Caenorhabditis elegans: one gene and its partner. The protein of the gene in region 2 interacts with the protein of the main gene of each other region in a pairwise test. Each region holds a gene or a part of one and is shown on either strand. Other genes may lie near its edges. The genes, in order: nekl-3 and mlt-3.

Region 1 (3,931 bases), on a different chromosome or scaffold from region 2:
AACAACAATATTGTCATAGGTTCAAAATGGTTTTATTTGTCGAACTGAAGGATGTACATTCAGGTCTAATACAAATGCGCATTGAATATTGTCATAACGGTGAAAAAAAGTTTCGATTTTAAATTAATTTTACCAGAATTTATATTGCCAATCATAAATGGAAGAGTGCCAATTCTTTATATATATTTTTTCAAATTTAACAATAAATTTTTGGTGCATAAATAGAAATTAGTGATTTTTTTGCATGTTGAAACAAAATTTTGGTTTAATTCCAAAAGTAACGCGCAAACAGAGTGATTGCAATTTTTTGCAAAAAACCTTTTATGAAGTTTTTGGAAAGTTGGCTACTTTTACACTAATTGATACATCTTCAGCATTTTCCACATTGATGGTTGAGAGCTGAGCAAAGTTTACTATAAATAACCATGGAATGACCATGAAAAAGAACATGCCTATTAGTGTTGAAGTACTGTGCTAAGTACTTTAAATCATAACTAAAAAACTATAAAATTAAATTTATTGCTAATGGCATGACGATTGCGCCAATAACCGTTTCAAAATCTAAATTGGCGGGAGACCAAATCACCAGTCATCTAAAAACTTGATCTTCGTCATCACACGCAAACGAGAACACAGTGTAGAAAGATGAAAGACATATCGTCGACGACGACCCAAAGCAAATCAATTATTTGTATCACAAATCTATTGATCAAATGCATCCAGTAGGCAACTTTTAATTTCATCTCCCAATATACTTTTTTCACCTGAACGTTACATTATTCGAAAAAGAAACACATATTCTGTCTTCTTCCATATCAGTAGTTTTTTCGCTGCTCTCGCTCCTTGAATTTTGTTATGAATGCATGAGAAAACTTCTCCCGTTTTTTTCTTCTTTTTTCCCAAAAAAACTTGTGTGAGATATTGAGAGGAAAAAGAGGAAAGCCGAGAAAAATGAATCTCCTTGGCAACTACACAGCATTGAAAATTGCGACGCATATGAGGCTAAACTAGATGTCTAGCTATTTTTTGTGTGTTTTATTTTTATTCTATAGTGTAGTGTGTACCTATTATTTTAAGTGAGATATTTTCTCAATCGTTTCATTTTTCTGTCAGTAGTAGTAGTGAGTCATAGATAGGAATCTGTTCAGATTTGCTGACGTGATAAGATCAGTTATCATCAAATATGGGGATTTAGTTCTGCAAATTTTTCTGAGTCACAAGTAGTAAATACACGGAACAAATAATTGGTTTTCAACAGTTGTCTCAATTAATACCAAAAAGGGGGATTTTTTTAATAGTAACTAAAAATATATATGATACGTATGAAAACTTGACACTAAGCTTAAACAACACTCCCTACACATCAAGAGCCACGATATATGTGGGGATTTAAATATGCAACGTCTCCGTCCAACTGATTGCACCGTCATTTTTTATCCTATCTGCGTCATGCAGATAGACAGTGTAAATGTTAATTAGAAAATAACACACGGATTTTCACATAGCTATCATCATTTCTGTAGAGATAGTGTAAGTTACTAGTAATATCCATTTGAATGTGTAATTGTATCGGTGGATTCGGGGATTGGTCCGAGAAAACAAAAAAATTAGTTTTAAATGTAATGTAATTTTTCCAAAAGTTTCGGTCCTGAAGTATCAGGTAAGATTCTTGTTACTTTGAACATATGCATTTCGTCTGAAAATATAGGTCTTTGATTGTGTATGAAAAATTTTCAAGTTTATAACACATTGTTTTGGATAGACGTCTTATTAACGTTATCAATCATTTTTTTTTAAAGTAAGTTTGAAACATCAAACTTCAATATTTCAGAAATGGACAAAATTTCGAACATCTATAATTTTGACGATCCACCACCGGATAAACTCAGCTTGGAACTATTCATAATCGAGAAGAAAATCGGAAAAGGACAGTTCAGTGAAGTTTTCCGTGCTCAATGTACATGGGTAGATTTACATGTGGCACTCAAAAAGATTCAGGTTTGCTTTCAAACTTTAAGGTGTGCATTTTGAATTAATATTCAGGTATTTGAAATGGTGGACCAAAAAGCGCGGCAAGACTGTCTGAAGGAGATTGATCTGTTAAAACAACTTAATCATGTTAATGTGATCAGGTACAAACGGTGGGGACATCACGTGTTTTTGATAATTCTATTTATAGATACTACGCATCTTTTATTGATAATAATCAATTAAATATTGTTCTCGAATTAGCAGAAGCTGGAGATATGAGTCGAATGATTAAGGTTTTTTTTAATGAGCTGTGAAAACAACGAAAACATTTTTAGCATTTCAAAAAAGGTGGTCGTTTGATTCCTGAAAAGACAATCTGGAAATATTTTGTTCAATTAGCGAGAGCCTTAGCCCACATGCATTCCAAACGTATAATGCATAGAGGTACCCATTTATCATTTTTTAATTTTAAATATAATATCTATTCAGATATCAAACCCGCCAATGTTTTCATAACGGGAAACGGAATCGTAAAGTTGGGTGATTTGGGGCTAGGCCGATTCTTTTCCTCGAAAACAACTGCTGCTCATTCACTCGTGGGAACTCCTTATTACATGGTAAGACCTGGTAATTTCGATCAGAAAAACAAGACAGAAGTAATAATATTAACGGTTTGAGAATTATTTTGACTCGTGTAATTTTTATTGAAAAAACTATAACAAGAAATTGAAAAAAAAAACATGATTTTTTTGTAATTTTCTGAACTTGCGAATTTTCGTGAGTTAGACTTTAATTTTTCAGAACCAATATTTTATATATTTTTGGAGTACTTTTAGTAGTTTTACTTCACAAGTTTTAAACTATTTAAAAACATTAAAAACATTGTGGCATTCGTTTTAAAATAATTTTTGTTTAGAGTTTGTACTTTTCTTTAAGCCTAAAAATGCATTCACACTTCATGTTTTATTTATATCATCAATCAAAATTTAAAAAAAAATCTATTTCATTTTTGGGGTGTGATTACTACAAAAGTACTGTACATCTTATACACTTTTAAAGTTTTCAGTCACCTGAAAGAATTCAAGAATCCGGGTATAATTTCAAATCCGATTTATGGTCGACTGGATGTCTGTTATACGAAATGGCAGCTCTTCAGTCACCATTCTACGGTGACAAGATGAACCTGTACTCACTTTGCAAGAAAATCGAAAACTGCGAATATCCACCTCTGCCTGCTGATATTTATTCAACGCAAGTAAGTGCAAACCTGTGTTTTGTTCAACTTAGGTGTTGAAACATTTGGAATAAGTGCTTTCAGTTTTCAAATTCGAAAAAATTTTTAGCTCCGCGACTTGGTATCCCGTTGTATACTTCCAGAAGCTTCAAAACGACCAGAGACCAGTGAAGTTCTACAGGTTCGTTCCGCGTTAGCCTCTTCAATTTTGATAGCACAAACTTCAATTTAAAGGTTGCCGAACACATGAACAATTACTTCTCGCCTTCCGGGGACCAATCAACAACTCCTTCAACGCAATTCTAAAAAAAGCTATAACATTTCAATTTCAAACATTTTCTTTAAAACGTAGTGTTCTTGTATTTTCAAAAGGTGGAAACATTCGTCAATGACCACGTGAATCCGTGATGTGCTAAATTTTACTCTCATACTGTCTCTTAATTCATGTAGATTATAAATGTTTTATTTTTATATAGATTTTCCATTAAAAAACCAACACCAAAAAAAGCTTAAAAAAACGTTGTATTATTTTAAAAGCGCTGTAATGTGTAAATAATAAAAATGTAGGTAATCTATGTACGTTGGAATGGTTGTGCTTACCTGAAAGCTTCAAGTTTTTCAGACCCTTTTCGCTAGCTAAAATATTTTCTGATCACAAACCACAAGATCAGAATTGTTACCGAACATTGCGGTTTTATGGATATCAGCGTATTAGCAATTCAGTTA
Region 2 (3,931 bases):
GAATTTCAAAAATCCGAAAAATTTTTTTTTTGAAAACTTGCTTTTAAATCATCAGATACAGTAGTAAATGATATTTACTCTATTTGTGTCAATTTAAACGTTAGAAAGAAAGTTTTTAGCTGAGAAAATGACTATTTCTTGAAGGGTTCAAAAAATAGTATATGTTTTTGAAGCTGTGAGCGTCCTTGGACATACAAGATATCAAAAAACGATCAACTACAAATTTGTTTAGCTTGTTATGGAAAATGTTTTAAAAATAAAAAATTTTTCTTATATGTGTAATGTGCCAAAATATGGCTTGTTGAAGTCAGTGATGTTTTGCTCTTACTCAACTGTGCCCACTTCTTGAACATGCAAGATAGAAAAATATTGCCAACTAATAACTCGTTGTTCAGTTGATTTCTGACAACTTTTCAGTTGAAGAAAGTTTTGTATTTTACGTCTCAAGGAAGTTAGGAGCTCTCAAACATACTATGTTTCAATGACCCAACTCTAGACTTTCCATGATTTCTTGGCTGAACATTCATTGTGAACTCTCACACTTGTAGAAAATATCAAACTGATCATTTTCTACACGTTCACCATGTTTTCGAAAAAATTTTCAAAACAAAAAAATTTCATCAAAAATTTTATATCATAAGGGGGGACCCTTATGATTTTCGAAATCTGACAAGTTCCTTCTAAATCGAGAGTTTTGTTTTTCAGAAACTTTAGTATCAGCAAAAAAACAGTCAATAAACAGAGAACTCAAACAAAAATGGCTTTAAACTAACTGAAATGAGCACTTTAATGATGGGAATAACGGCCAAACAAAATGCGCACATTGCGAGAGTTCGCATTGTGCCCTTTATGCTTGCCACTGTGGCGCACGTTTTCGCAAACACGAGCATTGTGTGCGTCGAAGCATTTTGCTTACACTGCGAATCACCTGTGTACATAAAAGTATTTTGTTGAGATCATTTTTTCATCTCGTTGTCAGTTTCTTATGAAATTTGACAATTTCTCGAACAAGGAAAAAATTTGTACACAATTTCCCAAGAAACAAGGACCAGAAATTCTTTGAAAACATCCACCAATATGCCACTTATTTTTGTTTTCAAAATTTTGGTTCTTTTATAAAAATAACTTACCACATTCTGACAACAACTTGATGCGTAATGAATTGCTTGACGTTTTTCTTTATCGCAAAGTCTGGGATTTGCTCCTCTACCTAACAACAATCGAACAACCTGAGAAAAATAATTAAAAATTTTTGATAGATTCCAAAAATCATAAAACCGACGCTAATATTTCCGCATGCTGAAGCCATCATCAGCGGAGTTTGCCAGCGGCTTTCTGTAGAGTCATCAACCTGCATTTGAGAGAAAATCAATTTTTGGGGAGACAATCATTCAAGAATTTTGAATCATCTTTCAAGATCTTTTGGTTGAAAAAATACGGTTCATTTTTTTATATTTTACAGCAAAATTGTCACTGATTGTTAAAACTTCTTGAAATTCGTACCTTGGCGCCATTATCCAGTAAAAATGCAGCAACACTATTATGGCCCAAATAAGCAGCATACAAAAGTGGCGTCCATCCATCATGATTCTTCATAATCATTGTATTCGGGTTAATTTTCATTAATTCTTTAAGTTTATTCTCATCTCCAATACTTGCTGCAGTACATGCATCCATAAGAACATGATCTTCATTTCGAATTATTGGCATTGGTTTTGAGAAAATATCATTAAAAAGGTCAGTATTGCCAGATCTACTCGATGGAACATATGTGACTCCGGGACGTTCTTGTGAAAAACGGACACGAAACGACATAATCAATAATAAGATGTTGGAAGAAATAGAATAAGAAGATAATGTTGATAGATAGAAAATGAGATCATCATTTTGGAACTAGTTTCCCGTGATTTGAGAGACTGTAGACACAGAGAGGACAGTTTTTGAGGGGGAAAAAGTGGATGACTCATGATAAAAAATAATAATTGTATTAGGTTGAACCGGAAGTCTTTGTGACTTTTTCAATCATTTATTTCTCGAAGCAAGAGAAACGACAGGAAACCAGTCACAAAGACTTCCGGTTCAACCTAAATCTTTTTTGAAACTCGCGTCTAACAACAATCAAAACTATACTTTCAAGATTGCGAATTATGGGTGCTCGCCAACTGCCGTTCGGTAATCGAACCTTCGGCAATTTCGGCAATTTCGTCAATTGCCGAAGTTGCCAATTGATGAATTTTCAAATTTAGAACGGTAGATGAATTTGCAAATTTAGAACGGTAGATGAATTTGCAAATTTAGCATTGAAATAGTCATAAATGAATAGCTGTTTATAAATTCTGAAATACCGCTATATCACACCAATGTAGCTCTGTGGAGCCATTTTGTGGGTGGGGCTTTAAAGATATTATAATTTTTTGCGACACTATTTGCTACGAGACCTTGAGGGGGAAATGTTGAAAACACCTAAAAATCTGTCTAAATTCGCCAAAGTTTCATACATATGGTGCTATAAATACAACGTTATATTGAAAAACTTTTAGAATAAAAAACAAAGAAAAACCATTGAAAATCAGAGAAATACAATTCAATTTAAATTTCTAACTGTATCTTTGACAGCATTCGATGATAAATCATCCCATGAAGCTTTCAATTGATTAAAATATACATCAGTGTGCTAATTCATTTCCACATTAATATCCTCTCCAAATGTCCCTTTCAATTTCCTCGAACTATATCGAACACTTTGAATTTTGTTCGGTTTTCTCAACCCTATCTGAAAAAATTTTGAGTATGACCGATCACAATGACTAGTCACTCACCTTGACATATATTCTATGAAGCTCATTTTGCCATGCTTCACTCATTTTGTATGTCAGGTAAGGAGCAAGGAAGCATAATCTGTGACGAATTATTGGGAATGGGCAAAGAAAATATTAAATGAACTTACAATGTGAAACTTAAATCAAAAATAATTTGATAAATTTCTCGTAACAAAAAATTTGAATTGAAAGAGTCGAGGACAATGGTTAAGGTACAAATGATGGGGAAAACAGCCATTACGAAAAGGTAGTGCGAGAAAAACTGAAAACATATATTTTGTGAATTTATGTTGAAAAATTATCGAATTTTCTGTACGTGCGCATTTTTGAACAAAAAAACTATGTAACAATAATAATCATTGACTAATAAGAATATATTATGCATGCCCAAATTTGCAGTCCTCAACGTTAAATTCTACGTCGCCGAGAATACGTACATTTTGCGGGCGGAGTGAATCCTATTATCGCTTCGAGATCTTGAGACCTTGGCGGGAATTCGAATTTACATTTTTTTTTAACTTCAGTGTTTCGAAGAATGTTTGCAAAACTCGAGAAACTTTTTACTAATAGTTACTCACGAAATGTCGGTCATAATATATTTTTCCATGGCAAGTATGGAATGCACTTACTATTAGTTAGTTAACCGTCTGTTCTAAAGAAATATATAATGCTGAACTTTAAAACATCCTTTTAAACTTCTATTGTATCGCTCACCATGTAAAGCCGAAGATTTTCAGAAATTTGATATCGTTCTCCCAATGAATATGAATGTTGGTCTACACGATTATTATAGTAATACCTTCGATTTGTTCGATACGTTATTACTGAGACAATGTAGCATACAAAAATAAATGAGAAATGACAGACACCAAAATATAACACCATACCAACTGAAAATCCAATTAACGTTTTGATTCATAACATATTACCCTACCAGAAGTAAAGACAGTTGATGCTATAAAGGATAGTATTATTAGAAAAATTATTATCAAAAATGGAATGATTGGCCGCTGATTTTTCTCATAATCCTTCACATAATATGTTGCGCAAAGACGCTCCAACATTATTGCAGTCAGTGCAAAAAGAGCTAAAAAGTTAGTTTTCACGATTAA

The links.
Region 1: the proteins of mlt-3 (region 2) and nekl-3 interact in a two-hybrid assay, tested with the Caenorhabditis elegans proteins (one study listed by BioGRID).

Annotation. Positions count from the first base shown.
Region 1 is NC_003284.9:12,389,375-12,393,305, reverse strand, and holds nekl-3 (Serine/threonine-protein kinase nekl-3), read left to right. Parts: upstream 1-1,831; 5' UTR 1,832-1,833; coding exon 1,834-1,998; intron 1,999-2,043; coding exon 2,044-2,132; intron 2,133-2,179; coding exon 2,180-2,264; intron 2,265-2,306; coding exon 2,307-2,415; intron 2,416-2,460; coding exon 2,461-2,588; intron 2,589-3,037; coding exon 3,038-3,226; intron 3,227-3,314; coding exon 3,315-3,386; intron 3,387-3,439; coding exon 3,440-3,511; 3' UTR 3,512-3,674; downstream 3,675-3,931. UniProt on the Caenorhabditis elegans protein: Probable serine/threonine-protein kinase required for the completion of molting.
Region 2 is NC_003282.8:12,225,238-12,229,168, forward strand, and holds the start of mlt-3 (SAM domain-containing protein), read right to left. Parts: upstream 1,876-3,931; 5' UTR 1,816-1,875; coding exon 1,504-1,815; intron 1,352-1,503; coding exon 1,283-1,351; intron 1,230-1,282; coding exon 1,131-1,229; intron 968-1,130; exon of another isoform or gene 947-967; intron 1-946. Other genes in the region: sre-18 (Serpentine Receptor, class E (Epsilon)), read right to left, coding at 2,675-2,773, 2,820-2,898, 2,948-3,081, 3,534-3,709, 3,754-3,906.